Mus musculus: one gene and its partner. The protein of the gene in region 2 purifies or fractionates together with the protein of the main gene of each other region. This does not show direct contact. Links are inferred from orthologs where the notes say so. Each region holds a gene or a part of one and is shown on either strand. Other genes may lie near its edges.

What was found. The genes of interacting proteins can lie anywhere in the genome.
Region 1: the proteins of Slc22a15 (region 2) and Vapb purify together in Homo sapiens (co-immunoprecipitation; 3 studies listed by BioGRID and IntAct, with this or other methods). This does not show direct contact. The link is inferred for Mus musculus from reciprocal best matches to the Homo sapiens genes SLC22A15 and VAPB.

Annotation. Positions count from the first base shown.
Region 1 is NC_000068.7:173,733,111-173,743,417, reverse strand, and holds the start of Vapb (vesicle-associated membrane protein-associated protein B), read right to left. Parts: upstream 5,848-10,307; 5' UTR 5,726-5,847; coding exon 5,668-5,725; intron 1-5,667. UniProt on the Homo sapiens protein: Endoplasmic reticulum (ER)-anchored protein that mediates the formation of contact sites between the ER and endosomes via interaction with FFAT motif-containing proteins such as STARD3 or WDR44.
Region 2 is NC_000069.6:101,919,556-101,929,968, forward strand, and holds the start of Slc22a15 (solute carrier family 22 member 15), read right to left. Parts: upstream 4,899-10,413; 5' UTR 4,564-4,898; coding exon 4,477-4,563; intron 1-4,476. UniProt on the Homo sapiens protein: Organic zwitterion/cation transporter with apparent specificity for amino acids and their derivatives. Has low affinity for its substrates and may regulate their flux across the plasma membrane at high substrate concentrations.

The DNA of each region.
Region 1 (10,307 bases), on a different chromosome or scaffold from region 2:
ATGTACTAAATATCCTTTTAGACAACCAATTTTAAACAGTGAATGTGTATTCTTAATATTATATATAAATAATGAAAAATTTCTTATGAGACTATATACTTTAACAGCAGTGACTCCAGATACCCCATGCATGGGAGAAACCCTGAAGTACCCCTGAGGGCCTGTTTCCAGTCAACAACAGCTTCCGTTTAAAGGATGCATTTAGCATTTTTAAAAACGAGAATTCCAGGAGGTATTTTATTACCACGCCATTACTTTTTAAGATAATCCTGGAATGACCATCTAGTTCAGTGAGCAAGGCTCTCTAAGCCACTTTTGTTTCTGAGGTAGAGCTGCCCAGGTCCCCTGGTAAAGGCTTCAAAGAACCAGTGAACAAGGCCAAAGCTCTCTGGGTGTGATGTGCTGACCGTGCGTGGGCCGAGAAGGCCCTGAAATGACAGAAAACGAGACACGCCGGCACCATAATGCACCCTTGTTTTAGTACAATTCAAGGCTCTTATTTTATGAAAGACTCCACGGCAAGCTCATCCTGACTAATGGAAGGCTCGTCTGTGTTCATCTTCTGTCATCTCGCAGACAGCAGTGCTCCTTCAAGGCCAGGTCAGCCTTCAGATGGCAAAGTTTTACCAAATAGAGAGATAGATGGAGCAGTGTGGGAGGAAGTTCTTCATCTTAAAACTCAAGTTTCTAGTTCTAACATTCTCTGGAACTTACTCCCTTGTCCCACCCCTCATTTCTAACTACTTAGCCTAAGACTGCAGGCACAAAAATCTCTGTGGAGGAAAGGGTAATAATAAAAAATGGCATTAATGCTGCGTAAGAGTTGGGCTCTTTAAGAAGCATCAGTTTAGACTAATTACTTCAATAAGTCAACACAGTGATGAAAAGTTACTAGGGAATTGCCAGGCTGCCCGACACGAGCCCTCACAGAGAACCAGGCTGCCTTCCAAGTACAAGGCCGAGGGCTGCACAAATGTTTTTAAGAAAAAGAAGAAGAGAAGAGAAAGTTACCGTCTAGTTCATTCTTCTCCGAGGGAGAAGGCTTCAGAAGTAAACAGTGCTGTCAGGGAAGATTTAAGTTTGACGCGAGCCCAGTAAACTTAATGCCACTCGCTTTTGTGATGAGCAAGCTGGTTAATAATTAAATACATGAAGATGATCTATTCAGGATGGATTTAAACCACGGCCATAAAGAACCTTAAGCACGCTGCTGACATTTTGTTGTGCTGTAAAGCACTGGCTGCCAACAGGATCCTGAAATGTTAAGGAAACCAGAGCTCTGACCCACTGAGCGAGCGAACGAGCGAGCGAGCAAACAGTGGAAAGGTAATTCCTGCCGGTGAGGACTATAGCCTCTGGTTGGGAGACCACTTCTGGTTTCTTCCCACCACATTTGTATTATACCAACTCCATGACCTGAACTAACAAGTCTAAGACTCTTCTCTCCATACAAAAGACAGTGTCTACCCACAAGCTTGGAGTGCTCAAGTGAGTGCCCCTACCTAGGTACGTAAGCTGCGTCTGACTTCCAAATTGTCACTGGCTTTGAACCAGCTTTTGCCAGAACAAGGCAAGGAGGCCTTGAACCCACAACAGGTTGGTGTCTCAACCCAGTAAGGTGTTTAGCTATCATTCCCGGCTATGACTTCAATAGAACTTGGTGTGGGAGTGTTGACTCCTGGACAATGACCTAAATTATACAAGGCATCACATACCACAGAGGAGATCCAACAGGAGAGAAAGGAAAGACAAACCTTTGAGAGGCTAGACGTAGACATAAGTCAGAGCTCCCAGGAGGATGTAAGAGGCAGTCAGACCCTACCCGGCCTGGATGGAGAAAACAGAAGGGAACGCTCCTACCACAAGCTTCTGAAGCCTTTAACTCTCTCAGGAAGTATGGCTCATGAAGATCAGACTCTGTGTCTTCCCATTAGCAGCCCTCCTCGGTATTCACTACAGTGCAATGTGGCATGGTCCCCAGAAATAAAAAAAGCACAGGAACCTGTAGGCTGTTTTCGTCTGTAATTGTGTGTGCATGTGCATGTACGTGTGTGCATACATGTGTGAATATGTGTGTATGTGTATTGCCTGTGTATTGCATGTGTGTACTTGTGGGTGCATAGGCAGCTGTGTGTATATACATGTGTGTGTACTTGTATGTGCACATGCAGTGTGTGTGTGTGTGTGTCTAGGGATTGAACCAAGAGCCCACTACCACTGAACTATATCACACTTCAGCTGTTTTTGTGTTTGGTTTTATTTTATTTTATGTTATCTTGAGATGTAGTCCAATCTGATCTTGAATTCACAATCTTCCTACCTTAGTTTCCAAAGTACTTAGTTTACAGGCATGTGTCACCACCACGCCCAGACTATAACATATTTAAATTTAACACATCACGCAAAATTCCCAAGATTAACGACAAATACTAAATCCCATAGCATCATCTTCAACTGTAGCAAAAGACCCATGATTCCCTGGATGACAAGTACTTTGATTAGCTTGTACGTGTAATTCATTTACAGGAACCTCAGAAATCAGAGACATTATTCTGGATAACATGAAGGAGACCAGTTAAGTCTGAAGGTCCTCACCCTGAAATGAATTCCCTTAACATAATGAGCCAACTTGCTGGGTCTCTCGTTCTATGTCTTGGCACTCAAACCAAGGAACAAGCAAACAAACCAAGAAACTCAACACCCCAGTTGGGCTTGGTGGCACCAATCCCAGCACCAGGAAGCTATGGCAGGAAAGCCACGCACCCCATACCAGCCTGGAAGGCTTAGTGAGACTTCATCCGCAAGGCAAGGGCTACACGCTAATGTATGGCTGGCACTCCCAAGACCCCCATCAAGTCTCCACACATCCCTGGACGACTCTTCCAGAGTAAGGACGTTTGGACACCAAACCTTTGGACTATCTCCTTGCCAACCAGCGATGTTGGCTGGAGAAGTGTCACCTTCTTAGCACTGCCACCAACCCAAAGGTAAGAGAGCAAATGGCAGGCAAGGTCACACATGCTAAACTGGAAGAGCTGGAACACTGGTGTCCCCTCCTTCAGAGACAGCAGTGTGTGGGGGCTTCAGGCATCAACCTGAGGAAGGTCAGTCAAGTGGGTGTGTAGATCTGACTCTCATGTACTGGCCAGTCTGGCCCTCTACTCCGCCCCACACCTTCTACCCACAGCACTCTCAAGAAGCAAGTACTCCCACTTTTGGACCTCTATGCACACTATTGTCTATGCCGGACTCTCCTATCTGCTTCCCCCTTGCTGTCACTGGAACTTTGTAACCAGATTCAGTGATACTCTGTCACGATCTGACCTCCCACACCCTGGGAAGTTGTTTCCTAACACACTCTAGTCTGGGTCACCTCATCTGCCCCCTTTTTCCCTGGATGCAAAGGAGAGGTGGGTGTCGGAGAAGAGGAGGCGAGACCAACCAACTGGATTTGAATTGTCCTGGGTTCTGACACACAGAGGCAGAGCAATGGGATAAATGTGCCATGTCACGGGTAAGAGCTTCAGGCGACCCCAGTAAAGTCACTTTGGATATGGTCTTCCTTTCCCAGTCTCCCCCTCCAGAGAAGCCACTGAGAACATCACAGAAAGTCAAAGATGTCCCTCAATAAAGTTAGATCCTGACAACCCCTTCCTAAGTTGAAATATGTTTATGTAAAAGTGCATTCGACCTACTTGACCTTTTTTTTTGTTGTTGATGTTGCTGTTTGTTTTTTGAGACAGGGGTTCTCTGTATAGCCCTGGCTATCCTGGAACTCAACTCTGTAGACCAGGCTGGCCTCGAACTCTGAAATCCACCTGCCTCTGCCTACCATGTGCTGGGATTAAAGGCATGCACCACCACCGCCCGGCTCTACTTGACCTTTCTGAACATCGCAGCTGACATGCCCCAGACTCACGTCATCCTACAGGTGCACAGTGCCCATTTGATAACAATACAATATTCAAATATGTGCTGAGACAGTAACACCAGCCCTGGGGAAGCAAAATCAGGAGGGTTGTCTCAAGACTGAGGTCAGCCTGAACTGACCTCAGCACACGAGAACCCACATATCTCTAAAAGAGAACACCAGCGTGTGACAGATCAGGAAACAAAAGCACTGTTGCGCAAGACGGGAGATCTGAGTTCCACCCCCAAGGGTGGAAGGACAGAAATGATTCCTACAAGTTGTCTTCTGGGTACCACACACTCACTGTGGCACACATACTGCCATTCGCAACACATAAACGCAAAATAAATAAAGACACCAGCCAAAGAGTTTATGCACATGAGCACCCCACCACAGAGATGGACGCCTTGCACTCGTGACAGGGTGCAAACACACAAAATACACAGAGCTACAGTTATAACCAGGCGGCGATTCACTGCTGTGCAGTCAGGCACGGGATCACGCACCACTGTAACCTGAAAAAGACTCAGCATTCGAAATTCCAAATAGTCACTACCAAACGGACACCACTTCCTTGTCGCTAACAAGTGGGATCCCGATAAGTGGGGGAACCTCTGGTGACGAGGGTCCACATTTAAGTCGATGCTTCTATTGAAATTTTTTTGTGTATGTGTCTGTGTGTTTGTTCACAAGTGTGCCAGGCTGCACCTGTTGGGGTCAGCGGACAATGTGCACAAGTCGGTTCTCTCCTTTGACCATGTGGGACTCAGGGATTGAACTAAAGTCCTCAGCCTTGACAGCAAGCTCTTTATCCGGTGAACCATCTCCACAGCCCTGTGTTAGGCTGCCTAAGGTTTTTGTTTTCAGGTTGACTGGACGGCCTCTGCTTCCTTGTAAGAGTCACACTGCACACTCTGAACCTGGAAGGCAAGGTGAACAGCCACAGATCTGAAGCATTTCCCAAGAGTCTGTGGGTACAGTGGCTAAGTATCTGAACGTCTGAAATCAGAACTCAAATGCGACAACTAGATAAGAGCTGTGATCCTACGTTACTTCCCAGCGGTGGAGAAACGGGTGACTCTCGGCCACCCAAAATCGTGTGTGCCAGCTGTGGGCTACACGTGGGCAATACACAGAGGATCATATCAGCCAACCTCAAGTACACCTTCATAGAGTCCAGTTTCTTCCTCTTCCTCCTAGTGCTTACCACTGTATTCTGCCATCTTGCTTACTGGTTGTTGAACTTTATAGGCCTCCTGTGCCCAATCTCATGACTCAAACATGCAACGAAGCAAGGAACAGGCTGGGCATGGACCCTGTTGCCTCGTGGCCCTTAAAATTAGTGAATGGAAACATTCATGTGTACATACACACACACTTGTGTGTGTGTATGTACATATATGTACGCACATGTATGTATACACACTATCTATAACATGCGTATACCATGCATATATATTTGTCTACGTGCACCTTTTTAATCACCTGGGCATGCACCTTTACACACAGATGTATACAGAAAGTGTACTACACAGAAAGTGTGCACGGGCTTCGTGGGCTGTAACCCCGGCAGCTCGCTGCCTCGGGGGAGCTGATGGAAGGGTACTCAGGCAAACCGTTTCCATGCACTGACTCCACATGCATGCATTAGACGCCTGGTGCATGCGGGCCTCAAGCGGACAGTGTCCTGCCCTCAGGGCGCGTCCCTTCCGGCACCGGCCGCTGAGTGACAGCTCCCGGGCCGGCCGGCCGCTTACCTCGGAACTTGAGCTCGTGTTGTGGCTCGAGGCTCAGGACCTGTTCCACCTTCGCCATGGTCCTCCCCGTCGGGGGCGACGGCGCGGGCGGGGGGCGGCGGCCTGGGTGGCGGGGCGCAGGGGCGGAGGGCGAGGCCGCGGTGCCGGGCGAGCTCACGGCACGCACGACGTACCCACGCACGCCCCGACGCACGCACGTACGCACGTACGTAGCAGATGCCGGGCTCCGGCAGTGGCCAGCGGCTCCAGCGACAAAAGGGAGACTGCGCATGCGCAGGGTGTTCAGGGCCACTGCGCAGGCACAGACCGGGCGGTAGAGGGCGGAGCTTCCGAGACAGGGGGCGTGGCCTCTCGAGGCTTGGGAGGAGGGGCGGTCTCCAGTGAGACTGTTCAGTAAGCGCCTGCGGGGAGAACTGTTGTTAAGTGCTTTACTTAATAATAATAATTAACAAGAATAAACTTCCACTTTCTTCCCGCACGTGTGGTGCCAGGCTCTACTGAGCCTGAATATAATAAAGTACTTATTATTCTTACAAACACAATGTTTACGGGTTAGTGATATGTGCCAGGCCTTGTGACAGTTCATAAATAACAATTATAAATATAATAAACTGGCAATTATTGTTTGCTTATTTCGTGCCACTCCGCTGAATGCTTTCAGTAACTGTCATAAATAAAAGCTATTCTGCATTCAGTGTTTACCAAACCGCAAAGCGCTGCACTGAACCATTTGCTGATAGCATTACTTGTTTATGCAAGAAATATTTAGAAATACAATAACCAGAAAACGACCTGCTTCACACCGTGCTAGGACCTCACTGAGAGAATAAATTAGTTACACACATAAATCACATGACTAAAAGTAACTGAGAGCCTAGCTCTGTCTGATACCCAAAATAAGCCCTGTATGTTCCCATTGGCACGTGACTAGTATTTCATTGTGTAACGTATACTATGTAAAATAGACCTTCATAGCCTCCTCATCAAACATTCGTGTGAAGAGTACACATGACTCTATATGGCAGGAATATCCATGTTGTTCATGTACTTCCCATGTTCTATACACCTGAAGTTATTTTCATAATAAAAGTTTCCAAGGGGTAGTCTTTGTCTTTTAGCTTGTGCATCTAATCCATTTATACTTATTGTATTTGTTGGTGTACCTGGGTTTATTTCTGCTGCTTTACGTTGGTTTTCCCATTAGATGTACTGTTTCTTTTGGCCTCTCATTTCTTGCTCTTCAGGATTGTTTTCCTCTCCATCTGTTCTTTCCTTGTGTTCTGCTACTACTGCTTCATGTGTACTGAATCTATGAAAGTCTAGCTTTTATGACATTTTGTTCTGCTTTCTTGAGATTTTAGGGCTTCAGTTCATCATAGTCACCCACTGCTCCATTATACGCCTTGTGCTTTTAAAGGAAACTCAGGTTTCCCTCAGTCTAGTTTTGTTTTGTTTTGTTTTGTTTTTGGTTTTGGTTTTTTGGTTTTTTGAGACAGGGTTTCTCTGTGTAGCCCTGACTGTCCTGGAACTCACTCTGTAGACCAGGCTGGCTTCGAACTCAGAAATCTGCCTGCCTCTGCCTCCCGAGTGCTGGGATTAAAGGCGTGCGCCCACTCTGCTCTGTGTTTTGCCACACTGTCTCTGCGTTTGTTGTACTTTGAACTCTTTGGGCTTTCTAAATTTGCTGATTGAGAATCTTTCATCAAGCTCAAAGCTTTTCAGTCAATATTTTTCTTACTTTTATTCTTTCCGTTGTTGCTTGTTTGCTTTGTTTTTGAGACAGGATCTCTTATATTCCAATCTGACCTTGAGGTCACTCTGTAGCCGAGGATAGCCTTCATTCTCCTGCCTCCACCTCTCCAATGAGGAATTTCAGGTGTTAGCTTTCATACCCAGTGCATGCAGGGCTGAAGTTGGTCCAAGGCTGCATGATAACCAAGCACTACCAGCTGAGCTGTCAACTTAGTCTCTAATTCTATTTTGTCTTTGAAGTAGGGGCTCACTATGTAGCACTGGCTAGCTGGAACTCACGATATAGAGACCAGGGTGGCCTCAAGTCACTCTGTTGTTGTTGTTGTAAATTACACCTAACAATGGCCATTTTCAAGACTGTGGCCCAGTAACACCATTTTCCTGTTGCCTGCAACCAACTCACTCACCCATCCCAAAGGTTCACCTTGCAAAGCCCAAACTCCACATCTCTTAAATGATAATTTGCATTTCTCTCCAGAGCCCATCCTTGGCGTTCATCATTCTGTTTTCTGTCTCCGGATTTGAGTGCTCTAGGCACCTGACAGAAGACGGGTCACTTAGCACTGAGATCGGACAGGGATGGGGTGGGGTGGAGGGGCAGCTAAGGGAATGTGTGAAGGAAAGGAACCCTCCCACCCACCCTGGGACATAATTTGCTGACTAAAAGTCAAAGTACCTCCAAACAACTGATGGTCAGTGAAGGCAATGGCCCCTTCCAGAGAGGACTAAAGGAGGTAATTATTCTGAACCTAACGGAAGTGACCATGGCAGGGCAATGTAGATGGAGCTCTTCCCAAATTCCATATTCCAATGAAGTAGCAACCCTATGGATTTTTAAAAATAATACTTTTCAAATACATATGTGAGGACATCAGGCAGGTGGGTTGCAGCAAACTGGGTAATTCTATACTGGCCATAGATACTGTCTGACGGCATTCTCAGCCCTTTGATTGGTAGAAGCCAGGGGTCTGTTCATATGTTCATAAGGCTTAACCAGTGGTCACAGAGATGTTAGGTCAGGTGCAGAAGAGAACAATAGATGGCTATCGGGAGGCATAAGATGGCCTTCGGTGATTGGCTCTGGATCTACAACCTTCCCACCTCTCCTCATTACTGCATGTCTGCCTAGTCAATCATTTTTGGGAGAAACAGCTTCTATGCAAGGACTCTGTTTCACAGGATGAGCCAAGCTAGCCAGAGAGCTAATGTGTGTTTCCCTGAACGCACCTCAGACAAGGATTAAAAAAAAAAAAAAAAAACCTAGCAACAGTGAGTCCTACCATAGGGGCACCCCTCTCACATCCCTTAATTGGAACAGTGCACCTCAGATGGCCCCTTAGGGCATCACTGACGCAAAGCACAATCCAAATAAGGCTTTTTACTTAGTTTCAAGCTCTATTAATCTCTAAACCTTGTAATAAATTGCTTCCTTTGAAGAATGCAACTTAAAACCACCAGATCACATACACAGCCACTGTGAAGCCACCTAAGTGTTGCCAGACATGTGGGTGGGGGTGGGGGGGCATGCCAGCCTGCATTCAAGGTCCTCTTGGTCTACAGAGCAAGTTTCAGGCCTTCTAAGAGAACTCTCTTGAGAAGCGCACACCCATGCCTCGAGTGTACACTGCCTTTTTCCTATGATTCTGTCTAAATACTTAATAAACTTATTGACTTTGCCTTTAGCTTGGCTCATCTTGAGATTCTTTTCAGTGCCATTGTCAAGCATATGGCTTTACCTGAGCAGAGGTCTCTGAGGGAGAGAAAGCTCTTCAGGCTGCTGGCAGCAGTGCTGGCCTGTGTCTCCCTGCCACCACTGCTGACAGCATGAGGTCCCTCAGGGCTCATCCATTGTGCAGCGTGTGTGACAATATCGCTTTCAAATGCCACCTCAGCCTCAGCGCCTCACTCTCAACATCTGGAGTTCCGGTTGGCATTCTTATTTATGATGTTTTTGAAACTGTAGGTTGTTTTCCCGATAGCAACTTATAAAATGAGTCCAGACGTCATTAGCAGAATCTGGAAAGCAAGGCTAGGATGTACTGAGGTGCCTTCTGTCGTTCAGGAAACTTCTATGTGGCCATGCTAAAGTTCTTGTACTCATATCTAGGTACAGTGTCACAAGTATCAGCATAAGACATTTATTATTGGCATTTGATAGAGTAAATAAGTGAGGGAGGGACGGGGGCGGGGGGGAGAGGGAAGAGGTAAAACGTCCCAGTTTTTTATGCCAGCCTTCATGACTCTGAAGATAGCACACTGTCATCACTGTGATTGGACTTGGTCTTGCTGTGTACCTCAGTTGGCCCAGATCCCACTTCATAATCCAGGTTTGCATCAAATTCTTGATCCACCTGCCTCAGCCTCATGAGAGCAGACATCATAGTCTTAGACCACTACCCTCAGGTCCATACGCTTGCTTGCTTGGTCTGCTTTGCTTTGCTTTGCTTTGCTTTGCTTTGCTTTGCTTCGCTTCCCTTCCCTTCCCTTCCCTTCCCTTCCCTTCCCTTCCCTTCCCTTCCCTTCCCTTCCCTTCCCTTTCATTCATTCATTCGTTTGTTTGTTACAGGAGGCTCTTGAATGCTAGGTAGTATCCTAGAGCATCCAGCCCAGGCCTCTGGATTCCACCCTGACCAGATTGCAGACAATTCTAGACCTTTCTGTTGGTGGCTTGTTGTCCCTTCGACTGCAGGTAACCCTCTCAGATAGTTTTTCATTTGTCACTTACTGCACGCCCACAAGCTCTGCTGTGTCCCTTTATCTATCTGCTTGGCCACATGGTTTGTAACAGACTTCATACTCTCCTCCCCCTCCCCTAAGGCATGGCATAACATAGCTTTGGTGTTGGCTTTCTAGGTACTCAGCAATAACAGTACCCAGACCAGTCTGAG
Region 2 (10,413 bases):
GTGAAAACAAACCCACATGCCGTGTCTGGAGCATGTGAGCACTCTTGGTTATTGAGTGAGTGTCTTACTGATAAGGATGTATTTGAGGGGTTTTAAATGCGGGACACACACATTCTAAAGGACTGGTGCCTTGTCTCTCTGTTCTAATCCATCTACATTGTATCACCAGCTCAGTCTCCTGAACTCAATAAACTCTCCTGGTCAAAACATACTAATGGGTGCAGGAGTATTTTCCTATAACCCAGTTGCTCTCTAGTTTGCATTCAAGCTTTCTGCACTCACCACTCAGGTATGACTTACCATGCTTAGCTACACATCTCTAAACTTCTTTTCTTCTTGCAGTACAACTGGATATTAATGTATGCCTCTGTCTAATGCACTCCCATCTAACTAGCCTCTCTAGAGGGTCCAGTGGAATACTTCTCTACTGAACAGCAAGCTTGTACAATACTGTAGGAACAATATGTACCAGGGCTTCCCAAACTTTAATAGGCAGATCGTGATTAAGGGGTATAGGGGTTCGCTCATTTGTTTTAATGTAGTGTATTGTGTATGTGTCTTTGTGAATGTATGCCACATGGTGTGTGTGTGTGTGTGTGTGTGTGTGTGTGTGTGTATGTGTCAGTGGAGAACAGAAGAGGTTGTGGGGGCCTCTGGAACTGGCTGCAGGTAGTTGTAGGCTGCTTGATAGGGTTCTGGGAAACAAACTCAGGTCCAGAAACATCACACTATGGAGTTTGGAAGAAACTGAGTTCGCTTTAGGTTATTTCCATGGAACCCTAAGACACGTGCTATCTGATCTCCCGCCTCTGACTGGGCTATCGTTTATGTTAAGAATTCCTTCCCCCAAGCTTTGCAACACCCACAGCAGCCTCTCTTTACTTATTCCAGTATGACATAGACAACTTTTCCCTGTAAGATCAGCAAGGACTGAGCCATCTCTCCAGCCGCACCCGATACACAAGGAAGCAGAGATAGGAGCTATTCTCTGCTTCTGCACCAGTGTTTTTCTATCGAAAATTACCTTCAGGTTTCTCTCTAAACCTAAGCTTCAAGTTCAGCTGCTCATCTTTCTGCAGGCTGCAGCAAACCCCAATCTCCTTCCTTCCTTTGCAAGGCATTGGTTGGGGTGTATTTCTCACTGAGGGAAATCGAACTTTGTATAACTATGGATAGAGTTAAACACTAACTTTCTAAAGAGCTGTAAAGTTACATTCATGCACTATCTAAGGCCTCTTTGTACCACTATGGCAACAGCACATCATATGTATGTTTAAACTGATTCTTTCCACAACAGTACAGCAGAAAGACAATCAAACCCAGCAGTTTTGGGCCAGGCATGGTAGGGCAGGCCTTTAATCACAACACTTAGGGAGCAGAGGCAGTAGGATCTCTGTGAGTCTGAGGCCAGCCAGGGCACAAACAAAACAATGATTTTTTTATTTTTTTTTTATTTTTTATTTTTTTTTTTGGTTTTTCGAGACAGGGTTTCTCTGTATAGCCCTGGCTATCCTGGAACTCACTTTGTAGACCAGGATGGCCTCGAACTCAGAAATCTGTCTGCCTCCGCCTCCCCAGTGCTGGGATTAAAGGCATGTGCCACCACGCCTGGCTGATTCATTTTTTTTTAATCCTACTTACTAAGATCCTAGAAAAATCTTTTATCAGTACCCATTTCTCTCCTGCAAGCCAGATGAAGCTCATAAGAGCACAGAGAGGACATTGGGGAAGAAGTGTATGACATACTTGTATAATTGCAGAGAGGCTGCTCAGGGGTGAATTAAAACTTAGGGGAAGGAGTGCTTAAAAGCAATAGCGGTCAGGAGGGAGAGCAGAGAGCACACTTCTTAGGGTGCCATGAAAATACCCCAGAACTCAGTTCCTTCCAAACTCTGCCATGGGATGTTCTAAAAGCGCTCTAGGTCTATTTCCCTTATGCTTTTACTCATTAGTTTCTTCTAAATCAATTCAACTTCTAAAATTTTATCCACTGCTGGGGGTGGGGTGTGGAGGTCAAAGGATAAGTTGTGGGACAATCTGGTTCTCTCCTTCTACCACGTGGGTCCAGGGAATTGAACTCAGGTCTTCAGGCTTGGCACCAGACACCATACCTGGCTGAGCTAGCTCACCAGCCCTCAATTCAAAATTTTTTTTGGGCCGGGCGGTGGTGGCGCACACCTTTAATCCCAGTGCTTGGGAGGCAGAGGCAGGCGGATTTCTGAGTTCGAGGTCTGCCTGATCTACAGAGTGAGTTCCAGGATAGCCAAGACTACACAAAGAAACCCTGTCTTGGAAAAACAACAACAACAACAATAACAACAACAAAAAAATTTAAAAAATTAAGTAAATCAACATAAAAGTACAATCTGTTATCAATACAGCTATCCTTTAGCAGATGGAACTATTAAAGATGCACTTAATATTACAAACTCAAGTGTAGCCTGGGATATTCTTGTCTAAGATGACCTACAAAAATATTTGTAAGCAAGATCTAGGGAGGGGGTGTGAATGTGAAAGGCAGCTCTTTTTGGTTTTGTGCTCAAAATGTTGGGGTGGGTGCTTCGGTGTTCCATGTCCCCTGTCAAGTATTGGTCAAGCAGTACAGCAGCTGGGCCTGCAACTGCTCCTTCATCTGGGTCTTCCTTCATCTGCTCTGACTTCTTGCACGTGTTTAAGCCTGTGATCAGAGGCATCTTTTTCACTGCGGATGCAGGCAGTGAGAACGGCAGGTTCTCTCCATGGCTGAACTCTTCTATTGCAATGGGCTGGACTTAGACTATAGTACAGTAAGGTCTTCAATAACGCTACGGTGTGACCCTCATCACTTCTCCACAGCAGGGACTTCAGAAGAATCAGCTATCCTTTCAGACACATCGAATTATAAAGTCGTCTTCCCGTGGAACTCAGGTGGAGGCAGGGACACGGCAACCCATACAGCCCACACCTACAAGATAAACAACCATCCATTGCCAATAACACTTGAAAACTTGGCAAATGGTGACCATAAATCAACCAACAGTTGCTGAGCAAAAAGATCATGGGCTTGGAACTCTTCCTTAACAAACTACAATGAACTAGGTCAGCCATTAATAAAAGCATGGGAGGGAGGGGAAGAAGGTGTAGGTCAGCAGTAAAGCTCTCGTATAAAAAGCGCAAGGCCCTGCATCTCCAGCTGGCAACGAGGTGATAAAAGCCCAGGAAAGTTAACAGGTCCTGACCCAGAATACTGGCCTTCTCAGTGCCACACTCAAGATTTGATTCTAAGTTGGCAACCACCTGGCTAGGCAAATAAGATGCTAACACAAGAAGTGGAGCAGAGAAGTGGCCAAAAGGATTGCCAGGAGAGGGGATATATACTTGGAACTCCTGGTTAGATGGAATATTGTCAAAGAAACCATTATACATGAAGACCAGACATTGCAGTTGCAGTTCTATTTCTCTATACTAATTCTTACTCTGCTAAGAGAAAGGCTTCCAAGTATCACCACTTGAACCGATGTTCTGCCTGGTGCTGAAGTCAACTGAAGATTTTAATGGGGAAAGAGAATCAGTAGATTAAGTTTTACCTTACTGCCTCTCTTCCTGCTGCAGCATCAACACAACGTTGAAGCAACTTGTGGGCTCTGGTTATAACCGCGGCCAGCCAGTACTTCCCTTGCAATAATACCTTAACTTACTTAGCTCAGCTGTCAGCCTCACAGTGTCAGTGTCACAGACCACTTCATCCCAGGATTGCAAGCCTCCGGGACAGGGAGCTAGCTTCATTTTCTGGCCCTGGTGGTAGGGATCAAACCCAGAGCCTTGCACATCTAGGGCTTTACCACTGACTGACCTGCTTCCTAGGGACAATCTGAGCTGCTCAGGCTGGCTTTGAATTTGCCTAGAAGAAGAGCCATCCTTCTCCTGCCTCAGTTTCCATAGTGCTAGGACTACAAGAATGAACCTCTTAAAGAGCCCAAGGACTCCTAAAATCAAGAGTTTTAGGTTGAGGTGTGCAGCTGGTTTCTGAGAATTCAATACAATGAACCACACTGTGTGGATGGTATCATTTCCCTAGACCAAAGCTGGCCTCGGAGCTTAATAACCCAGTAGAACTTTAACTAGAGAGAAATAAATTCCCGTGGATGGAAAGCCCCTTTAATAGGAAGCCTCCCTCAATCTCAGAGAGGGCTGAAGGAGGCCATACTAGCTAGACCTGATCTTTTGTGGGCAGGTTGTCCATGCTTTCTCTGTCTCACTCTGTAAGGGGTTAGGGTGCCGAATCCTTTTGATCCCGGGTAATGGGTTTCATCTTTCAACTAGCTCTGGTGGCGAAGTGTCAGTGCCAGGCTCTGGGTGACAGCCTGGGAGAGCTCAGTGGCTGGCCCGCCACCGCGCGGCGCCCGCCCGCCCCCTCCCTCCCTGCGCTCTCGCGCCACACCTGGGGCCAGCCTGAGCTGAGAGCGCCCCGGGGGCCGCGGGGAGCCGGGGACTCACCTGCAGCAGCACAGCCAGCAGGAAGCACAAGTACATCTGATAGAGGCCCATCTCGCCCACCGCCTGGAACGCCTCCTCCACCTCCATGGCGGGCTCGCGCCCGAGGACCCGGCCGCCACCGCGACGGAGGACCTGGCTGCGCGGTGGCTGAAGATCGGGCGACGGAGCGACCGAGGACTGAGCCGGGCGGGGACGGAGGGCCGAGCGGCAGGGACCGGGAAGGAGGACCGGGCGGACCGCGGCCGAGGCGGGGACAGAGGACTGGGCCGAGCCGGGGGTGGAGAACCGGGCGGGGCTGGGGCCCAGGCGCAGGCGGGACCCTGCAGACGACCGGGTCCGGGGTCGCGGCGGAGATGCGATGCTGGTCGCCCCGGCGCGGCCTCCCCGCTTCCTGTCAGAAGTGACAGGAATTTTTGGCGAGCGGTTGGCTGGCGCGCGGAAGGGAAAGAGGAAGTGGGTGCGGCGCGGGCGGCCAGGGCGACTCACGGGAGGGGCCGGCAGCTCCACGCCGTGTCCCGCGGGGTTCGCCCCTTCGCACAAAGCGGTGGAATGCGGGGGCGCTCAGAGCTCTAGAGCCTTCCGAGAAGAGGGCCGGGAGGCATCTGTCCCCTTCCTCCTTTGTCTTGCTTTAGGTACACAGGGTCAGATGTAAGCTCCGCGCCTCGAGACATCCACTTAGTAGTGCCCACTAGGCCCACGGACAAGGGACAAGGGACAAGGGCAGGGGGTCATGGTTGCCAAGGTCTGTCAATGGAGTTTGGCACAGGGCTGAAGAAGTGTGGGGACAGATTACTAGTGGCCCCACACCTAATCCTGTTTTGTTTTTAAACTATTGCAAGTATCTAAACCAGCATATCTCAACATGTGGGTCAGGACCAAAGACCCTTTCACAAGGGTCAGATATCAGATATTTACATTACAATTCATAACAGTAGCAAGATTACAGTTATGCAATAACAAAAAATTATTTTTATGGTTAGGGGGTCACCACAACACGAGGAACTGTGTTAGAGAGTCACTGCATTAGGAAGGTTGAGAACTACTAATCTAAACTATCGCTAAGTTTACCTTTGCTTTCTGTTGGTGTGATAATAGCATGACAGAAGAAACTTGGGGGCGGGGGGGGGGGTGGAGTTTATTTGGCTCACAGTTTCTCTCAGAGCCCATCATTGCTGGGAAGTCGAGGCACCAGGAACTTAAGCAGCTAGTAACATGGCATCCACAGACAAGAACAGAGGGCAGTGATGTGATGGATGCGCTCACCAGTGATCAGCTAGTTCCCTCACTCATTCGTTCAGACTAGGGCCCAACCTATGAAATGGCCTCACACATATGGGGGGGGGGGGCTTTCTAACAACCCAGTTTTTAAACAAATTCCCTCAGAAGCATGTCCAGGGCCAACCTACTCTAGACTGCTCCTCACTGAGTGAATGGGAACTTCCTTCCCAGCCGAGGCTAGGTTTTGATCGTTAAAACGAACCATCCCCTGAATATAATACAGAGTATAATGGATGACCAGGAGGTCCCCTTGTCTTGCAAGCATTCTTGTTGTGCTTCCACAATTTCCCATTAATTATGTCTGCTGTTTATAACTGCCCTTTAGTGGTCATCTACCTAATTATTGTAATAAAATGATACAATGTTGACTATGGCAGGGTTGGAAGCAGCCAGTGTGGTGGCCACAAAAGATGAATTGGAAGTGCTTAAGCCAGTGGTGGTGGCAGCAGCCATAGAGGCAGCACAGACCTTTGATTCCAGCCCTGGGGAAGCAGAGGCTGGGCTCAGCTACAGAATGAGATCCCTGGCAGCCAGGACTACAAAGATAAAGCAGCAAGACTTCCCTTTAACCATATGGTCTAGCTTTCTTGGCAGGCAGTGCTCTCTGTGAGAAGAGGGAGGGGCAGGGAGGAGAGGGGTCACTCAGCTTTGTTTCTTATTAAAGAACTTTTACTATTTTTTTTTCTAAAAATGTTTCCATTTTTATTTACGACTGTTTTGGGAATAAACTTGCTCATTTTGCCCTCCTAGACCATGATCTGGCTGTATTTGCACCCCACTTTTCGTTATTTTTATTATGACATACTTTGTTTAGTGTTACATAGTTATTTATTAAATAATTCATTATTTGTTTTGCATTTTTCCCACTTTTTTTCTACACAGAAAATATTTGAATATAAAATTGTAGTTCGCAGACTTTGGAATTTTTTTTATATATATTTTGTTTAGCTTTGTTACTTTGTGATTCTTTTACTAGCTAGATAGTGTCAGTGTTTATAGCTTGTTGGCTTTCAACACTTTCTCTCCCTAGCCATCTTTGATTTATTTAAGATAAGCACTGCTGTATCCCAAGTTGGCTTCAAATTTGTTATATAGCCAAGGCTATCCTTAAACTCCTGATCTTCCTGCTTTTGTCTTCTAGAAGGCTGAGAGAGCAGGCTAGCCAGCCTACTGCACCTTGTTACAATCTCCTTTGTAAAGAGTGATTATGTGAAAGGGTATACAATCCTCTAAGTACTATTTACCCTGATTTACCAGTTCTCCTAAGCAGTATTTTGTAATGGTATTGTAATTTGCTCTTTAACCAGTGTTATGTTTTTGAGCATTCTTTTTACCTTTCTAGTTAAAAGTTGTACCTTTTAACATTTTTTAATTATTATTTATTTGAACATTTTGTGGGCAAAGACAATATTAAATCCTAGAACTGCCTGACTTTTCCTGGGACCTAGCATCATTGTATTACAGTGCATTCATTGTAAACAAAACAAAACAAAACCCTGCACCATATGTGTTGAGAACAACACATGGTTTTCATTTGCTGGGCTCAGAACATTCTGTAAGTTAGTACATCATACTTGTAATCTTACTGAAATCATTGGCATGCATACTAAAGGCTTATATCATTCTTTAATAAATATATCAACATCTTCCAAATTATTTTCTTTTTAGATTCTCTTTTTAAATTTATAAGTTCACAAGAGGACAATCTAAGTCACTTGTTTATTATTAATAATTTCCTTGAAATCTTGTTGTAGTCTTCATCTTATCCTTATCTTTTGTTTACTCTTCCTTCTTTTGGAAGTTTATGGGAGGAGGACTTATTTCATTCATCTTGACAGTCTCTTGTTGAGGTTTGGTCTGTTGATATGTACTGTAATGCTAAACACTGGCCCTGGCTACCTCAGGGAAAGGAGATCCTCAGCACACCACGTGATGCTGCCCCTCAAGCTATCCCTGATTGGTCAATTAACAAGCCTATGGCCTATGGCTTATGCAGGAAATAGGAGGTGGGTCATCCAGAAGGAGAAAGAATTCTGGGATAGAGCCAGGTGGAAAAGCCACCCGGGAAGATGTGAGGAGACAGATACATGGTACCTGAGCACAGGTAGCCAGACACGTAGTAAATGTGGATTAAACTAAATGTGTTATCTTAAGTTATATTTAGTTAGAGAAGAGTCTAGCTATATGGCCAAGGTTTTTTTAATTGACAGGTGATGCATCCATACAATATTCAAGATATTCTCTCTACAGTCTCTCTCTTCCCATTCAACCTGATAGTCTATTGTTTGTTCCTTTGCTTTGTCTGTTTCTGTTTGGTTTGTTTTTGTTTTGTTGTCTTCCTATTTAGCCTTTAGTGGCCTGAAACTTGATATGTAGACTAGGCTATCCTTGAGCTCACAGGAGTCCACCTGCCTCTGCCCCTCTGCCCCTCTGCCCCTCTGCCTCCTGAGTGCTGGGATTAAAGACATATACCACTATACTAGACATTTAAGTGGAGAATAAATCTCGATATATTTGTGATGAATTATATAGTCAAAATTGTTTTCGCCATCCTGCTCTGTGCTTCTTTTAACTGCCTTGGTCATCTGTTGGATTATTGCATTTATTTTTAAAGACAAGGTCTCACTATGCCCCCCTGGCTGGCCTGGAACTCACTTTGTAGACCAGGATGGACATTAATTCAGAGACATATCTCCCACTGTCTCCCAAGTGCTGGGATTTAATCTATTTTTTAAGATCTATATTCCTTTTGCTACTCTGGGAGCTCTGGGTCACATCTTTATTAGTGTTTTGGAAGTTACACCTACAATTTTTAACACCTATAAAACTGTGCTTTCCCACGATGTTTTTATCTATACATTCTACATAGAATCTATGTGTGTATCCTCTTTGCAAAGTGATTAAAAACCTATACAATGTTTTAGGAATACTGTATCTCAGGGGGCACAAAGATGTCACATTCTGGAAATGTTTCTAAATGATTGTCACGTTGGCAAGTTTTAAATTACCTAGGAGACAACCTTCTGGATACGCCTGTGAAGGTGTTTCTAGGGAGGCTTAATAGAGGTGAGTCCTCATGTTTAGAGATTGTGGGCTGCCATCTCAGGATGAATAAAGAGCAGAGCAGAGCACAGTCAAGCAACAGCCTTCTCTCAGCTTCCTGAGTCTCTAACCCGGGACTCAAGGTTCATGGAAAGAGTTTTGATTAGAAAGATTCAGAACATGTTTTATTGCTGAGAATAATTATTTTTAATATAGAAACAAGAAGGCAAAAAACAAGTATGTTTTCATGGCAGTGATAATGGATTATTTAATAGCCCAGGCTCTTTTAATAGCAAACTGGGAGGCCATGGGTCAGCTTACCTATGTTATGTGTGTGGGGAAAGAGGCAAATGATTATTCTTAACAGAAAAGATAACTGTGATTATGTTGCTCTGTGGGGTATTAATTCACTCGGTGCCTGGTCTAGCAGTACCACCCTAACACTCATGTCCTGTATGCAGCCATTTATTCAAAGGCTGTGGGGCCATCTTTGCCTTCCTTCAGGTCCCTCAACTGTGTTCCAGTTGCACAAAACCTTAGCAAGGCTTTGTCCCATTTTGGACCAAATAAACATGTATTTAACTTTTTTTTTTCCCACAGGTTTCTCTGTGTAGTAGTTCCTGTCTATCCTGGAACTCACTTTGTAGACCAGGCTGGCCTCAAACACAGTTTCTCTTGCCTCTGTCTCCCAGATGCTGGGATTCAAGGTATGCACCCATACACCCAGCAATGTGCATTTAACTTTAAACCCCCTTTTTTGATGTCATGAAGAGTTTAAGTGAAAAAAATTACAATTAACATTATATATGACATATAGTTAAATTAATATATTGTTAAGTAGAAGGTGAACTCTTACATCCTATACTCAAAAGAAGAAGTATTTTCAGTTGACCAAGGCTTGTTCTGTATAATCAGTCCCTGATATATATTGCATCATCTAATCTGGCAGCAGTGAGTGGAAAATACACGTAAGATACACCAGTGGAAAAATGAAAGCAAGACCTAGAGAGAGAACTTAAACCCAAAGAACAACAGATGGAGAAACAAAGTCACATCTAAAGTAAAATCAGCCAAAATTGATAGCAATTAAAGTTTGCAAATATAATCAGGGTGAAACCAAGATTCACCTCCAAATTCAGTCCTGAAAGCCAGATTAAAAGAGTGGAGGTGCTGTTAACTGAGGCGGGAACCCAAAGTGTGGAGGTTTGTGGTAGAGGGTGTATGTCAGAGTGGTGGAGCCAACGTTGGTCTTTTAAATGTCTGCTGTCCCTTTAAGATCCTGCCCTCCCCCCTTAACCCAGCCAGGCCCCTGCTGGGTTTCCATGCCCTAATTTACAGTTAGAGACAGAGCTTCTGAGCATGCACTCTAGAAAGAGCCAGGCTAATTAAAGCTCTCCTGAGGTTCAAGGTATTGCGTCTGTGGCTCTCAGCAATGGCTTCCATTTGAGCACATATTTCCCTCATCTGACCTCCCAGCCCCCACCTCATTTTGTTTTTTTCTTAAGTTTTTTTTTTAATCATAATTTTATAATATCTGTATCTTTATTTATAAATCAGGAACAGTACACATTGGGTTTTTTTAATAGTTAAAAAATTAGAATAATGGTTGGAATACAG